Tribolium castaneum: one gene and its partners. The protein of the gene in region 1 binds, or shares a complex with, the protein of each later gene. Links are inferred from orthologs where the notes say so. Each region holds a gene or a part of one and is shown in the gene's direction. Other genes may lie near its edges. The genes, in order: lobo, dynein regulatory complex subunit 3 and Gas8.

Evidence for each region.
Region 2: lobo (region 1) and dynein regulatory complex subunit 3 share a complex: the UniProt entries of both Homo sapiens proteins name them as parts of the nexin-dynein regulatory complex. The link is inferred for Tribolium castaneum from reciprocal best matches to the Homo sapiens genes DRC7 and DRC3.
Region 3: lobo (region 1) and Gas8 share a complex: the UniProt entries of both Homo sapiens proteins name them as parts of the nexin-dynein regulatory complex. The link is inferred for Tribolium castaneum from reciprocal best matches to the Homo sapiens genes DRC7 and DRC4.

Annotation. Positions count from the first base shown.
Region 1 is NC_087396.1:18,011,200-18,016,715, forward strand, and holds the end of lobo (dynein regulatory complex subunit 7), read left to right. Parts: intron 1-1,551; coding exon 1,552-1,905; intron 1,906-1,953; coding exon 1,954-2,139; intron 2,140-2,184; coding exon 2,185-2,407; intron 2,408-2,458; coding exon 2,459-2,716; intron 2,717-2,766; coding exon 2,767-2,905; intron 2,906-2,949; coding exon 2,950-3,031; intron 3,032-3,079; coding exon 3,080-3,514; intron 3,515-3,562; coding exon 3,563-3,760; intron 3,761-3,807; coding exon 3,808-3,971; intron 3,972-4,016; coding exon 4,017-4,080; 3' UTR 4,081-4,118; downstream 4,119-5,516. Other genes in the region: Bili (FERM domain-containing protein 8), read right to left, coding at 4,282-4,430, 4,476-4,740, 4,784-4,913, 4,955-5,305, 5,358-5,516. UniProt on the Homo sapiens protein: Component of the nexin-dynein regulatory complex (N-DRC) a key regulator of ciliary/flagellar motility which maintains the alignment and integrity of the distal axoneme and regulates microtubule sliding in motile axonemes.
Region 2 is NC_087394.1:30,245,236-30,251,158, forward strand, and holds dynein regulatory complex subunit 3, read left to right. Parts: upstream 1-2,739; 5' UTR 2,740-3,114; coding exon 3,115-3,271; intron 3,272-3,322; coding exon 3,323-3,606; intron 3,607-3,653; coding exon 3,654-3,826; intron 3,827-3,875; coding exon 3,876-4,224; intron 4,225-4,271; coding exon 4,272-4,667; exon of another isoform or gene 4,668-4,713; coding exon 4,714-4,853; exon of another isoform or gene 4,854-4,899; coding exon 4,900-5,032; 3' UTR 5,033-5,124; downstream 5,125-5,923. Other genes in the region: TOM1-like protein 2, read right to left, coding at 1-243, 2,261-2,324; enoyl-CoA delta isomerase 1, mitochondrial, read right to left, coding at 5,143-5,259. UniProt on the Homo sapiens protein: Component of the nexin-dynein regulatory complex (N-DRC) a key regulator of ciliary/flagellar motility which maintains the alignment and integrity of the distal axoneme and regulates microtubule sliding in motile axonemes.
Region 3 is NC_087400.1:9,426,219-9,432,141, forward strand, and holds the start of Gas8 (dynein regulatory complex subunit 4), read left to right. Parts: upstream 1-2,403; 5' UTR 2,404-2,590; coding exon 2,591-2,593; intron 2,594-2,643; coding exon 2,644-2,873; intron 2,874-2,924; coding exon 2,925-3,186; intron 3,187-5,035; coding exon 5,036-5,154; intron 5,155-5,209; coding exon 5,210-5,351; intron 5,352-5,404; coding exon 5,405-5,572; intron 5,573-5,622; coding exon 5,623-5,709; intron 5,710-5,753; coding exon 5,754-5,923. UniProt on the Homo sapiens protein: Component of the nexin-dynein regulatory complex (N-DRC), a key regulator of ciliary/flagellar motility which maintains the alignment and integrity of the distal axoneme and regulates microtubule sliding in motile axonemes.

The DNA of each region.
Region 1 (5,516 bases):
TTCTCCCAAACAAAAAAAAAACACTTTAGGTAAATACACGCACTTTTTGATTGTTCTCTTATTTAACCATTCATAAACTTACAGACCTGTTGCCACAGCAACCAATGATCCGTCATAGCAACGTATTTGAATTATACAGATTGATTAAAGCTACTGGTTTAATCCCCGGTCATTCGTGTAACGTGATGTCATACATTAAAGAGGTATACTCGTATACAGATATTCAGAGAAGTGTCGGGAGGCACCATTGTAAGGGTCTCGTTACTTTCATAACCCACAATTCGAAATAATTACTCTAATCAGGGAGATTTCGACCGTTGTTGAAGTAATCTCCGTCAGTTTAAATAAACAAAGGAAAAACAAGCTTGACTTCTAAAAATGGTAAATACGCCGAAATATTTTTTAAATTAATTTAAAAATTATTCGAAATTATTAAACAATTTCACTGTACTAAGATGAATTACGAAATAAAAGACAGTTTTGACGCTTAATTTAAACAAATCTAGAACCCGGAGGCAGTAAAAAATACGTATACTTTTAATGTAAATAAATATCTAAAATAAATAATTAAATGCTTTCAAAAACATAAAAAAATTGGATTTTTTAGTAATACAAAAAATGGAGGATGCGCCGGGCAAACTAGTAACATACATTTAATAAGTCGAATTTTGAATTTATAAACAAAGTAAAATTAATAATTTGTCTTTCTAAGAGTGGATTTTACAATCGCCCGATAACTTCATCCTGGGAATAAATTTTCAAAAATATATTGTTGTAACAATTGTAACCATAGTAATTATACTTCGAATAACTTATCCGAGGTTTATCTGGCAATAAAAAAATCAGACTTTTAAAGTAGTGCTAACAAGTTAACAACAAGATATCATTTATTGGTAAATTGTAAAAATGGTGGATGCGCCGGGAAAGTTAATCATTCTAGTGGATAAGTAAATATTAAGAAAACGAGAAACGAGATACAAAATAACTCTATTTTCTATACTTCAAAATTTAGAACGGCGGAGTAAAAATGCCCTTAATTTGAAAAAATGCAAGAACGTTTAGAAACAAAATCTTAATACGTTGAGAAAACCTGATTCGATTTTTCACAATAAACATGAGAAAAATTAACAGTTGCGTTCCGTATCATATTTTCCAAAACGCTAGGAGTTCGGTTATTGATGTAGAGAAGAAAATAGTAGAGAATTAAAAGTCCGCAAAACCATATCTCATTAACATTTCAAAACCCAAAGACCTTCAAAGCCGCTCAAACGACAGATTCGTTTAATTTGTACCTGTAGTTGAGTGTGTGGAAAAAACTTTAAAGCAATTTAAACTTAAACGGTTGAAGATAGTAATATGGTTAAGCGGACCTCTTTTCTGTGTTTTGAATCATATTCACAGCGTTTTGAAAAACATGGTGCGGTGCAATAAATGGTAATATTTTTAATGTACCAAATGCAGAAAGTAGTTTGAAAATGTTTGTAAAAATGGTGGAGGTGCCGGGCGAAATATCTTAATTTTATGATAACTATTGAATTATTATCTTTATAGCCAAACCGTTTCTACTCTCCTCACACAACCTTCGTCCGCAAGTCCGGACAGCCCCACGAGCTTGCTTGTGTCCTTTGTTCCCTCCTCATAGGCCTCGGTTACGATGCCTACGTGGTCTTCGGCTACGCAGTGCGAGATATAACGTTACGAATAATGAGTCGTGTCGATTCTCCATACCCCCCCGATGAGAAACAAGAAGATGTACGTGACGAAGGTGAAGACAATAAGAAATACACCGTTAAGCCCCCCAGAGATTTGCGAAGTAAATTTTTATTGATGATGGAACAGAAAAAAATCGATCAGATCAAAGCCGAACAAGAACGCGAAGCCGAACTGGAACGGCAGAGAGAAGAGGTGATGACACACGAAAAAACGACTTGAAACTATTTTTTTGGTGATTAGGAGGAGGAACGGCCGCCGCCGGACGATCTGGAAGGGATGAGGTTCCATTTTTGGGTCCTGATAAGGACAGAAGGTCGCGCCATCGACGAAAATACTTTCGTTGAGCCGAGTACTGGATATGCGCATCCGGTTAATAGTCCGTTGTACAGTGGCATCGAAAGTGTTTGGAATCATTTGAATTATTGGGTATGGCGGGAGTAAAGTGACTATTTTCTTAGGTTTTTTAAACAGGTCAATATGCAAGACTGCAAGGAAGGGTTGGGTACAATCGACTACAATTTGCACGATGTTGAAAAATGGGAACATTTGTTGATCGGAGAGCCGACTCAGTGGAGAGTCACCGTCGAAAATTTAAATATGGATGACGAAGAAGCCGCTTTAGCGAAAATAATGGAAGAAAAACATTTAGACATGCCGATATCTTGGAGCATGAAAATATCTATACCGCACAAAGGTTGATCACACAAAAATTTGAATTTGGTGTCCGAATTTTTGCTATTTCTAGCTCTAAAACAAAAATACCCCGAAGGCATGATCAGTACTTGGTATAAAAAAACACTAGTCGAAGAATACGCCCCTTATATTCAATATGACGGACTTTTAACCAAAATTATGAGATATAAAGACTTTGATTGTACGGAATGTATCACAGTTGAGCAGATTTACGAAAACAGACAAGACAAATTGAAGAAAATTGTTTATGATTTAAAAAGCGATCTAGTCACGGAGTATTTTGGCCCTGGGCGAGAAGATGCCGTGATTGGTATTAAAACCAAATTTTTTGTGTGATAACAAAAACTGAACATGTTTTAGAGCACACTTACTCGAATAAAGACACCGATTCAAATAAGCGGATAATTAAGTTCAACCACAAGGCACGCTACGACGGCTTGGAAAAAATTGAATTCGAGCGGGAACACATGGTTGAATATTACATAGACCGTGACGATTTGTGAGTCGCAAGAGCAAAAAAATTGAGTTAAACACAGGTTTCAGGTTTTATTTTCGCGAAGTGTTCTACGCCCGCAAAGGCCAACCCCCGCCTGGGTTCACCGAAAGTCACCGAAAATTGATTCTAGTTAGTTAAACTAGCGTGCTCTCACACTAACTGACAATTTTATTTCAGAGAATAATCGAGAAATACGAAAGGAACCATAAAGTCCCCGCGAGTCACGATATCGCGACCCGAGAATTCGCAATCGTCGATAGACAGATTCTTCTAAAGTATCATTTCGGGGAAGGAAGAGTCACTTGCTCGACCAGGAATTTCAATAAGCCTTCGATTGCGGAATCGGGGGAGGGAATGAAGTTCACACCTGAACTCACCTGGGGTTATGTCGCCGAAATCGGGGCGAAGCCCCCCACACAGCTGGAGTTGTTCCTTTTATTCCAGAAAATGTTGAAAGAAGAGGAGAAATCCCTGTCGCGGATCCGCGAAATCGAGGACCAGGTTGCAGAGTTTTTGACGCTGAGAGACCACGAAATGGCATTCCCGAAGCTGGACGTCTCGCTATTTAATATCGAGCAGAACGAGGAGTACCGTCAGGGAATGTTGGAGAAAGTTAGGTTTAGGTTTGGCGTTTCCGGTGCTTAAAACCCGAAATTGTAGGAAAAACAAGAACAGGAATATAAAGAAAGGGAAATTGAGGATGCAGGTGTTGAGTATTTGACGCCGTATTTGACTCTGTTGGGAAATCCGGAGAGCGTAACCCCGGTTGAGGCGTTCAAGATTAAGGAGAAGTGTCTCAGTGATTTTAAACAGTTGTTGCTTAATCGGGCCATTTGTATTCAAAAACAGTTCGAACACGTAATTTTTATTCCGTTTTGCGACATTTTTACCATATTTTTCCGTAGTGGACGCAGTATTTGAAAGACAGGCAACAGTGGTACAACATTAATCAAGACACGGTCACAGAAGAGGACGAAATAAAATATTTTCAGGAAGTTAATGACTTGACTTTTCTTTTACAGTGCTACGAAATTCGCTTGGCTCGTCATCGTGACTTATCATTTTTCAGGTATTTAGTTACGTGAAATGTCTCTTTACGTATTATTTTTTTTAGATATGAAGCCGTGGTCAGGTATTTGAATGCACAATTAAAACCACTGATCGAAACATTTGGATAACGTATATTAAAAAATAAAAAATTATGAGATCCATACATTGTGTTGAGTATTCTTACACTTAGGGCCGGTTTATAGAACGCTCCGTTAAAACTTAAATCGTTGTTAAAAGTTAACAACCAAATTGCTTCAGTTTGGTCACATGATCAGTAAAACACGCATTTAATTGCCAGTTAAATTAATGACGCTTCTATAAACCGGTACTTAATAACTAAAAGACCAAGAACCCATTTGACCAATACAGTGACCTTCTTCGTCAAAAGTGGCCAAAGTAAGTTTGCTTAGCTTATTGGTGAGTGAAGGTAAAGATGGTGCATGGTGAGTGGTTCCTACCGTTAATGAAGAATGAGTCTCTGCAAAAATAACATCAACCAAGGTGGCAAAAATTGTAAACTTACCGTTATCGTTACTTATTTGTTGTTCATAAGCCTTATCTGTTTCATCGTTCGTTTTCGCCTTGATATGATTCACAAACCCAGTTATGAGTGTATCCATAAGACTAGCTTGTCTTGAGAAAACTTGTAATATTTTCGAAACCCTTGCTCCATTCTCGACCACCATAAACTGGATAAAAAGACAAGGAAGACAGTTAGGGTCCTCCTCCTTCGACGGTCTTGCATATTCCCAACTGAGTTCCTCAAACCGTAACCCTAACAACAACGACTGGACCAAACACTAGCACCAACGCAACAAAATAAAAACGTACACATTGAGTATCATCTATTATGTAAACACCTTTGGAATTAATAGCTACAAGTACTGGAATGTCTTGGTACGTAATAAGCGATGTTAAGCCACGGACCGGTTGTTCGACTTGTCCCTCGAAAAAAGCAGATCTAAGGCCGAAAATAGAATTTTCCAAAGGCGAGGCACTTACCCATAAAACGGCAACGACCAACAAAACTCTAAATATTTTTTCATCAATTTTCGATTGGTGGCCGAATTCGGGATTCGTTTAAACTGTTCCAAAAGTCGGACCTCTGCCGAATTTTTCGAACTGATGGGTAGCCAAGTCCAAGTCGAGCTTTTCCTCACATGGATGGGCAAGTATTTCGACTGCTCCTCCCTAAAATAGTGGGTCGAATGGACTTGGGGGTTGTACGGCCCTAACTCGACTCGGGCTTGGATACCCCCTAGCATAATATAGTGTGCCACCTCGCACGGATATCGTCCCTCCAGGATATTATGTCTTGCTTCTTCATACAACAGTTCTAAAATTTTTTGGTCCCTAATGAACAAAGAGCAGAGATGTGGAATACAGTTAAATCGAAATCTACTACTTGATTTTCTCCTCTAGATGTTGCGGGAAAAAAATATTCCTCTGGAACATGATCTTCGGTTCGTCCCTTTGTTGCCTATTACTCGACACATGACTGTATTGCCCCACCAAAGCCCGCCAACTTTGCCTGATTTCATACGGCTTATGCGTAGGTTTAAGT
Region 2 (5,923 bases), on another chromosome or scaffold:
CTGTCACAAAGTCCTTGTTGCAAATTAAAACGTGGAACCTTTTTCCGCAATTTTTTACACAAGTTTCTAAAACGGTCAAGGTGTACATCACCACTGTGTAGTTTTTTCCAGCGTTCTGAGTGAGACGCTTCCTTATGGCTTTGACGGCATCTCGAGGGCCGTCTTCTGTCTCGTTCACCAAATCACATATTTCCATGTTAAGGCTCCAGTTTTCCGAAGCCAACGTTCCATCTGTGGCTTGTTCTACAAAATCAAGCCAAAATAACTGCATTGTTCTGGTCCAATAAATTTACAATTTGTGTGCTTATATTAATCTTTTTTTATCGAAAAGCTAATGTGATTTATACAAAGGGCTTGTAAAAATGACAATTTTCTTCTAAATATAATACACCACTTTATAACATGTTTTTTTTGCCAAACTTTCTTTTTACTTTTGAAATAAATTACTCAAATTCGTCAGAAATTTAGAATACACAAACGATTAGAATTTAATTACTGTTTTTTTACGTGTGACGTTACTATCGCTGCTATTTTAGTCTGTATGTTATATTGTACTGGAAACTCTTGTGTCAAGAAGATCCATTTAATATTTCTAGAATTTCTGAAAAAAATTTATAATCCGATACATTCTAAAGCCCACAAAAATAAAAATAAAATTTGACAATTTCAGAAAGTAATTTAAAAATGTGAACATGGAATCAATGGAAACTTAGACATTTTATAAAATATAAGAAAACATTTTTTGGAAAATTAAAGATTTAATCCGACGTTTTCGCCTTTATAAATTTGTGTTGCAAAGAAAAAATTACTGTTACAAATTTTGTGTTAACGTGTATTTTTTTAACCGTACTGTACATTTTCTCAACTAAACTTATCACTTGAAAGCAATATTTATGCAAGGCGGTTTAGAACAGTATTATTAACTTTGAAGTAATCTTTAAAGTAAACTATTCAACACGCAAATTTAAAATCGATGAAGTCACTTAGCCTTGTATTGTGCTCTCAGTTTACTACCTATATTGGACTTGTAAGATCAAGCGAGTGGTGTCGTAATACTCATTAACAATTTTTCCTTCATTGCATATTAGTCTAAATTAAAAACTAAAAATGGCAATGGAGTTTTTTTCCTCCAAATATACAAAATTGTGAAAATCCACCTACAAACCGACTCATAACTGTAATACATGTAACACATGCCTCGCCCATACAGTTGCATGCTATTGCAACATTTTACGTACAAATTAACTTTACTATTAATTTTGTAGTACAATTTAATTTACCAAATGACTAGGTTCACATCCATTTTAATAATTAAATCTAATCACTTAAATAAATGTGGTGCACGCTGCAGTAATCACAATTAATTATAATAATTGTAAAGAAAAGTTTTGGAGAGGACGTTGTTTTTTGTTAGCCAAACATTTTAAAATTTTATCTGAAAAAAATATGTCTGGTTCATTACTTAAATATTTACCAATGTCTCACAACACATTGTTGAATGATTGTTTATGGACTTATTATTACTATGTTATTGGTCATTTTCGAAAATTCTTGTTGCTCTATTTTACACTTGAATTATTCATGTAAATAGGCGATAGAAAAGAATTTATATTGTTATTTTTATTCTAAGGTGATTAAGAACGCGCAAAAATAGTTCCAATTAATTAACTGATCTGAATTAGCATAAATACATATGTATATTTATTTTAAAGCAACGATGAAAAATATTTCAACTACGTTTTGCCCATAAAATTATCAAAGAATGTGGGTACTACAGCGGTATTATTCCTAACTGTTGTGACATACATAAGAGATTATTGTACCGATAACGCAAAGTATTTTTTTAATAATAGGTTTAAATAGACAAATTTCCATAGGACCCCGTGAAGAAAGCATAAAACGTCTCAGTTGATAGCCTATGTAGAGTAGTATAAGTCACACCTATTGGTAAATAATTATAAACAAATTTGGTACGAAATAAAAACCACGCTGTAGTTGTGACAAACAAAATGTAAATGCAAAAACCTACACCTACACAGACAGCGATGACGAAGTACCTTAGAATTATTACCAGAAACAGTAATTAAACAGTCTGATGAATAGATATAGGTGAATCAGCCAACAAAAGTGATAAACAATGTAATCTAAACAATAAAATACAGTGCCAGCACCGGTTTCTAGTTCTATTTACGTTTTATTAAATCGATTTTAACAACGGAAAAAAATTAAATGAAATCCGGCAATGCCAAGCGGGACTCACCAATTCGCGATCCTACGGGCGTCGAAAAGGGATTTCCTCCTAATGCAGTTCCAAAAAAAGACATTTTTTATTTCTAAATTAAATTTCACGATTGCACTTTCTTGTTGTCACTTGACTTCTGTCACTGTCACTTGTCAAAACAAGAAAACACTGCGGCGCTTGCGCAATACTTCCGCTCCTAAATCTAAAATTTTCCGACGAAAATAACAATTTTATTTCAAACAAATAAACTGCATGACGCGCTTGTTGGTGTGTTAGTCACTGTTTTTCTAATTTATTGATCTTTTCATTCCCAAGTTGTGTAAACTTCTGAATAAAAAGACGTCAGACATGTGTCACGTGATCAAAAATTATACGAGGTGCGGTTCACAATTTAAAGTTCTTTTTTTATGTTATTTTTCCGTTCTTTCACGTAATATACTACCAAAGCGAGCATTTCTGCATTTATAACTGTGCTGTTGTCATTTCTTCTTTGATACAGAATACAACGTAATTTTACAATTTTGAGTATTTTTTTATAAGTTGCGGTATCAGCACTCGGCTTCGCCTCGACTACAATTTCGCAAACTCTTAATTGTAAAGATTTTTTTACTCCAAAAACCCTCTCTGGGCTATTTTTATCTACTTAGACGTTATAATCTACCTGTAAAGAGTTTTTTGTAATTGATATAATTTCACAATGAAAAATAATAAAACTCAAGAGCACAAGCTCGGCAAACTCAAAGATTCATGATTTCTCAAGTCCATAGCAACAATAAGGTACTTAAACAACAGTCATTGTGACATCAATAATTTCAAGAATGCTTGAAAAGGTATTTGTATCGATTTAGTGTGCCTAATGAAAATTTGTAAAAATGAATCCTTGTAAATTGAAAGAGCCAAAAGTAATAGACAATGCCCTTCTGGAGAAATGTATCAAAGACCAGGGCCCCAAGGGTGAAGCGGGTCGCTTGGCGGAGATCGAAAAAATCCCCCTTGAAGACGTCACCGAGATTCGCTTAGAATTTCTGAGTAACAATTCTTGTAAAATTTAAACCCGACTTTCTGTGTCCCTATCCGTAGATATCTTAAGAATTGACCACTTGTGGGTGCTGACATCTTTAACGAAATTAAATCTCAACAATAATTTACTGGAAAAAATCGAAAATTTGGAAAGTCTGGTGAACTTAACTGAACTAAATTTATCATTCAATAAAATAGCTAAAATCGAAAATTTAGACGAGCTTCGCAACCTTGAAAAGCTGAGTCTGTATGATAACGAAATCACGGTTTTGGAGAACATGGACACTTTAACAAAATTAACAGTTTTTAGCATTGGAAGAAACAAAATTGACGACTTGGACAATGTATTACGAAAAATAATTGTGTTCTAGAATACACAAATATTTTATAGATTCTGTATTTGCGACGATTCGGCAATTTAAAATCGTTAAATCTAGTGGGGAATCCCTGTGCCGAGGATGAAGATTTTCGTTTATTTATTGCAGTTTTTCTGCCACAACTCGTTTACTACGAATATAAATTAATATACGAGTCGGAACGGGAACTTGGACACGAAACTTTCAGGTTTCTAGCTAAAATTGTTTAAGTGAACATCAGTAGGAGAGTTTTTTAGTGCAAAACTGCGAGCATTGTTGGAGAAAGAGGAGAAGGAACGGGAAATCACTGCGATAAAGGAACAAGAGTTGGCCGATGCCGAACTTCACGCCTCTAGTTTCGTGGAGTATTTAAACACTCGCCATTTGTTCGACTCTTTATTTGCCAACGACACCGACGGCATGAACTTGATGAAAATCGGCGAAGACGCGCAAGAATTCTACGACGAGTACGAGGAGAACTTCATCGAACTGTGTAAACAAATATTCGAAAATGGGCAACAACAGTACATCCTGCGCAAAACCGAACAGGACCAGTTCTTAAAATGCGTCGAAGACGCAAATAAGGACAATCAAGACGAAAGCATTGTACGCCCCCTTTCGAATTTACTTATAGCCCCAAATTTCGTCCGTAGAAACACATGGAGATCTTCCTGGAGAAGAAGGCAATACTGTTCCTCAAAATCAAAAACGTGCAAAACCAGCTGAACTCAAACGAAATAAATTACGACGAGTTTATCGACAAATGCGACGTCTTCGTGGTGGAGTACGACGAGATGTTGCACGAAGTTTGGAAAGCGCTAATGAAACTGGAACTGGAACTTTACGAACAAATGGAAGAAGTCAACCAAACTTTCGAACACAACATCACAGAACTCGTTAATAATTTCATTGAATCGTCGCAGGCTTTCTTTACGCAGATCAGAGAGCTGGAAGTGAGCTACGCTGAAAATATCGGCGATTTGGCCACAAAGTTTCAAACAAATGCCAATTTGAATGAGGAAATCGAAGTTCCCGCAGTTCTTAAACCGGTAACTTCCGGCACTTGCTTTATTAATAATTTCAATGAGATTACAGCTTATGGCAGATAAGGATCTTCTGCACAACGCGTTGGCAACAAGTCACGATATGCACATGCAGATTATCGATGCGAGAGAAGACACTCTCATTTCGAACGCCAAGGATTGGCTAAATGATTTAATCGACGATTTAAACACGTAAGTTATGCCTTTACTTTTCCCGAAAAATATCCACAACTTGTAGGAATGAGATCAAGCGAAACAGGGGGAAAGTGCTGGAAATTAACCACTTTCTTGAAATCCAAAGGCAGGAGTTTGAGGATTTGAATAAGGAATACGCGCCTGATCTCAAGGATGACGTTATAGCCTTGGAATAAGTAAGATAGTAAAATATACTTTATTTTTACAAAAGTACTTACACATATTCTTGGTTTGGATAATAAATTTTACACTTCATTATATAAAAGAATATCAACTTATAATATCCTTATTTCTGTTTCTGCTTCAATGATTGCAGATACATTTCCAACCCCTTTTGCACACTGTCCTGAGCTACGTAATTCGCCACATATTCGTAATCTTTTTGGAGATTGTTAGTGAGGTCCTGAAATAAAAACTCATTTTTACAAAATATATAATTGAGCCTTAAATACAAAAATGCCAAAAAAGTCTATAAAAAAATCATAATACTAATTGCATCACATAATATGTTGAGATAAAAATATGTTTCCTTGGTGAGTTTCCTTAATAAAACATTTCGTTATATTTCCTTGCATTTTTAATAATGATTTTACCTACCTAGTTTTTGAAACTTAAAAAAAATACGGATAAATGCCAACTGATTAATTTCTGCAGAAAGATAGTACCCTCAACTTCTAGTATAAACTTAATTCGAAAGTATTACCAACAATTTCAGTACTAAAAGATCTTGGGGTTTTTTGGATAACAAATTATTTTTGAGATAATTTCTATATACTTGAAAATAATTTAAGCTCATAGGTCAGTATCGAAGCCTTTTTAACACAACTTTTTTTTAATATTGTAACATTTGGAAGGTTAGCAGTCTCTTCCAACTCGCTGGGACACGTTGCATAATTTTATAAAACTGTTATAAACAATGATAATGAATACAAAAAATACAATTGAAGGACCTTGATGCGAAATCACTTTACAACAGTTCTGAATGCAACTTCGTCATGACTAGTTTAATAAATTTATTTATTAAAGGTGCTTGAGAGTGGATAAAATATGTTGCTCTGATAAGTGAG
Region 3 (5,923 bases), on another chromosome or scaffold:
TTTTGCATTTTTGCCATCTCTATTGCTGTTACCGCTAGCACCTCTCCGGTGGGGAGTGAGTTCTGATACAGCCTGTATTTAATTTGAAAACCAAAAAACATTTCAAAAACAATTACTCAAAAACGATTAAATTTTTAACGGACTTGATACTGTACTCATATTCCATATTTTGCCGGACCCTGTATGCAAGAGGCGTCTGCTATAGGTCTATTAACGCAATATCTCAAAAACTTAGAATTATTATACAAAATTCAACGTTTGCTATTAAATAGTTTGGAATTTTCTCAAAGTACGTAAATTTTTTAAAATTTTAGAATTTTTTAATAACAAAGGTTGACTTCTGTACAATTATTATTAGATTTTTTCTGAAATGTAATAAAAAATGCTTACATATTTTCATCTATGCAACCATTTATTCAGTCTAGGGATATCTAAAGATTAGGATATGACACGACGTACAAATAAAACGTTTCCATCCTCGTTAGTTCCGTTAATGTCGCTAAAGAACGTAGTTGTTCCATTACCGTCAAGTTTTCAGAGCAATAAATTTGAAAAAATGCTTGTATTTGTATAACAATTAGTACAAAGCAAACAAAAAAAAACAACAACTAGAGGATGAAATTCTCAATAAATAAGATACAAAAGTAATGCGAAAATTTTATCGTAAACTATATTTAAAAAAAAGTATAAACTTTGCTCTATTTGCACTCTACCTCAGATTTTTCAAAACGCTACGAATACAGTTTACAGATGCAAGAAAAATTTTAGAAAGAAAGTTGTAGAGAATTAAATTTCCTACAAAAAAGTCTGGGAAACTATGTCCATATCTTCAACCAGTTGGGCCCCAAAGTCGTTCTCAGACGCTCAAGCGACGGATTTGGTTTATTTTACCGGTGGTCAGATCTTGGAATGTTAAATTATACATAAACCATTATTAATAGAAATATGGTGTTGCAGTTTTTTTGTAGAAAATTTAATTCTCTATAACTTTGTTCCTTACACATTTTTGGTATCTTTAACCGTTTTTACTACGTTCTCAAAAATATAAGGTGGAACGCAAGTTGATAATTCAAAGCAATAATTCTTTGCGCACCGGCGCATATTTATCAAAACACTGGGAATACGGAACTGAATTTTTTGTAAAAAAAGTACTTGACACCATATTTCTATCTTCTACAGTTTATACAGGGTGCATCAGAAATACGTGTCTTAATTTTAACAGGTAATAGAGCTCAACAAATAAAACATCTTTTCTATTTGTAATTTTTCAATAAAAAATTTGCAAATTTACTCAAAATTTGAAAAAAGATAACATACTGAAACGTGTACTCATCTATAAGTACAAAAATAAGTGAACTGAACTATTTTCGTTGTGATAGAAACGGACAATTTAAACAATTTAAAACAACAATGCAAATGGTTGCCATGAATGCAATAATTATTAAACACTGACCGACTCGTTTGCACAAAAGAAAGGAGGAAAACGAAGAAAATTATAAATAACAATTTTGCAAAATGTTATATAGAAATGTTGTTCTCTTTGATGAGTTTTATTACGTGTTAAAATTAACACACGAATTTTTGATACATCCTGTATACATAGTGGATAAAAGTGGGTTGTTTCTAAATTTCTATAAATATGCAACCAATAATAGCGATTCCTGCTGACCAGATGGGTAATTGTTAAAAAAATTAATTTAATCCAAGATTACATTGTTCTGGATAGTGTCAAGTTTGTCTTGACAGTTCATTATAGATTTTGTTATAGATTATTATTATTTAAATGATAAAAAACCAGTGTTAATTTAAATAATGTTTTAAAAATCAAATTCCAAGTCGTACGTGCAATTAGTATTTTTGGTTGCATTTTAGGACATGTTAGAAGTAACCCACTATTGACTCACCCTGTAATAATTAACTTTATACCTACACTTGGTTCAGCGTCTTCAAGGCATAAACCGATGACGTTAGAAATATGGTCTGGCGGTCTTCTTTACAGGAAATTTAATTCATTTGAAATTTTTTCCCAATTTTAAATCTTAAATAATTTTTTCTCATGTTTGTTATGAAAATTTTAGTCGTCAGTTTTTGTTAAGAGTGCAGAGCTTAACATTTCTGCATTTTTTCCAAGTAATGAGTGAGTTGGTTGGATTTAAATTAATTTAAAATCGCTTGAAGCGCCCTCATTTTTTCTCCGCTGTACTATTTTTTTAAGTTCAGAAATTTCTGCGATTTTCTGTCTCGTTTCGTCTCCAAACTAATAAATAGTCCTCCATAATTCACACTGTAGTATACTAGGTTATAAAAATAAAGTTTTGTGCATCCGATTTTAATAATTACTGGTTTAATAAGAAATAACAAATAAAAGATTAATTCTTCACAAGTTTTTTTGTCACTCCGACACATTTTCTAAATAGTCATTTAGATGCCAAATTTTCTGACAGAATATTTTTAGTGTCATTGACTCATTGGGCAGAATTCTCCCTTAAAATAAGTCCATTCCAAAGAAATCGATACGCGGGTAGTAACCATCTAAACAAATAGTTTCTTGAAGAACTGCTAGCTAGTTCATTCACTTTCACTTCGTAAAATGGTTCAGTATTTTAATAATTGTTTGAATTTTCGCTAATTAAAATTTTCCAGCCTCCCAAAAAGAAAGGTGGAAAAGGAAAAGGCGGTTCGGGAAATATCATCGATGGAGTGGACACAACTCAAATGACCCGAGAGCAGCTCGAGGTCTTCTGCCACCGAATAAAAGAGGAAAACGAACGAGAAAGAGAAGAACGAAATTTCTTTCAACTCGAAAGAGATAAATTACGGACGTTTTGGGAAATCACAAAAAATGAACTTGAAGAAGCTAAAGCAAAACTCAGGTGCAAAAATTAAAAATTTGTAAAAACAAACACTAGAATAAAAATTTGTAGAAACAAAGACCGACAGATTGAGGAAGCGGCTGAGAAAAACGAAGAAGAACTGAAATTTTACAAGCAAAAAGTCAAACATTTGCAATACGAACACCAAAACAACTTAACAGAATGTAAAGCTGAAGCGCTTGTTTCGCTGAAAATGTCACAAGATGACCACACTGAACAGGAAAGAGAATTGTTGCGAGATAAGCGAGATTTGAAAGCGCAAATGCGGGAACAAGAAGTCGCCCATCAAGATCAAGTCAAAGCTTTAAAACTGGTACCTATGATTATTTGAATTTAAATAGTTATTATTATTAATAATACGGCTGTCGTTATGCAACGAGCGTATGCGATACCCGAGTGTTTTCGTATGCCTGTTTTTTGTTAGAACATTTTAATTTAAAACACGTTGCTATGAAAAGTGTGTTTTAAAATAGCGAAAACCCGTTGCTATGGGAAACGTGTTTTAAAATAATGTTTATAATCTAGGATTCAGATATTAAAAAAAAGACTTAAAATAGTACCAAAAAAAAATAGTTATTAATGATAAGAGTCCAAAAACACAAGCCTAAAGTTTGAGAGCCCTCTTTATGCAACGAGCGTATGCGAGTTTCATACCTAGACACCCGAGAAGTTTAAGCGTTTTCGTATGAGTGTTATTCAATTTTTTTTTGTTGGAATATTTTAATTTAAAATACGTTGCTATTGGAAGCGTGTTTTAAAATAACGAAAACATGTTGCTATGGGAAACGTGTTTTAGAATAGTGTTTATGATTTAGGATTCTAATATCAAAAAGAAGGCTTAAAATGTTACCAACAAAAAATAGTTATTAATAATACGAGTGCAAAAACACAAGATCAAAGTTCGAAGGCTGTCGTTATGAAACGAGCATATGCGAGTTGCATACCTAAACACCCAAGAACTTTAAGCGTCTTCGTTTGAGTGTTATTTAAAAATTTTTGTTGGAACATTTTAATTTAAAACACGTTGCTATGAAAAGCGTGTTTTAAAATAACGAAAACACGTTGCTATGGGAAACGTGTTTTAAAATAATGATCATAATCTAGGATTCAGATATTAAAAAAATGCTTAAAATGTTATAAAAAAAATAGTTATTAATAATAAGAGTCCGAAAACACAAGCTTAAAGTTTGAGGGCTGTTTTTATGCAACGAGCGCATGCGAGACACCCGAGAAGTTTAAGCGTTTTCGTATGAGTGTTATTCAATTTTTTTTGTTGAAATATTTTAATTTAAAATACGTTGCTATGGGAAGCGTGTTTTAAAATAACGAAAACACGTTGCTATGGGAAACGTGTTTTAGAATAGTGTTTATAATTTAGGATTCAGATATTAAAAAGAAGGCTTAAAATGTTACTAACAAAAATAGTTATTAATAATAAGAGTAAAACACAAGCTTAAAGTTTGAGGGCGTATGCAAGTTACATACCTAGACACCTGAGAATATGTTAATTTAAAACACGTGGCTATAAAAAGCGTGTTTTAAAATAGCGAAAACCCGTTGCTATGGGAAACGTGTTTTAAAATAATGTTTATAATCTAGGATTCAGATATTAAAAAAAAGACTTAAAATAGTACCAAAAAAAAATAGTTATTAATGATAAGAGTCCAAAAACACAAGCCTAAAGTTTGAGAGCCCTCTTTATGCAACGAGCGTATGCGAGTTTCATACCTAGACACCCGAGAAGTTTAAGCGTTTTCGTATGAGTGTTATTCAATTTTTTTTTGTTGAAATATTTTAATTTAAAATACGTTGCTATGGGAAGCGTGTTTTAGAATAGTGTTTATGATTTATGATTCTGATATTAAAAAGAAGGCTTAAAATGTTACCAACAAAAAATAGTTATTAATAATACGAGTGCGAAAACACAAGCTTAAAGTTAGAGGGCTGTCATTATGCAACGAGCATATGCGAGTTGCATACCTAGACACCCGAGAACTTTAAGCGTTTTCGTATGAGTGTTATTCAATTTTTTTTTGTTGGAACATTTTATTTTTTAAAACACGTTGCTATGGGAAGCGTGCTTTAAAATAATGTTTATAATCTAGGATTGAGATATAAAAAAAGGCTTAAAATATTACCAATAAAAAAATAATTGTTTTTAGCAACATAGTGAAGAGATAAGCACCATCAGAAACCAATTCGAACTGAAAGAAAAAGAACTGGAAAATAAATACGAAAAAAAATTTGCTGACCTGAAACAAGAATTAAACATCAAACATACGTAATCAAGGAATAAATGTGCAAGTTTTTTACATTATTTACCATATTTGTTGTAGGATGGAAATGTCGGAGCTGGAAGAGCGCAAAAATAACCAAATTACTGATTTGACAAAACATCACGAGAAAGTGTTCAATGAAATGAAGAACTATTACAATGACATTACTTTAAACAACTTGGCGTTAATAAGTAGCTTGAAAGTAACAAATAATTATAAAAAAATTAAGTGATGTCTTTTAATTTCAAATTGCAGGACCAAATGGAAGTTCTTCGGAAACAAAACGAACGAATGAGTAAACAAGTCGCTGACATAACTGCCGAAAACAAGCGCTTAACTGAACCTTTAAAACAAGCACAAATTGATGTTGCTGAGTATAAACGACAACTTGAACATTACGAAAAGGACAAGTTATCACTGGCGGTAACAAATTACTAATTTGTGGTAAATTTTAATCAGGCAGTCAATTTTAGAACACCAAAGCTAAATTATCGTCCACTAAACAAGAGCTGGATGATTTAAGATGGGCAAACGATGCTTTGCAATTAAGATTTGAAAAGGTGCCTATTTTTATTATTTCGTCCGGTTATTGAAAATTTTCCAGCTCGAGGCCGAAAAAGACGAACTGAGTCGAAGATTCATCGAGGCAATTCTAGACGTTCAGCAGAAAACCGGTCAGAAAAATATGCTTTTGCAGAAACGTATCCAAACTTTGACAAATGTGGCGGAATACAGAGATGTGATAATTGGGGAGCTGAGGGCGCTAACGTCGGA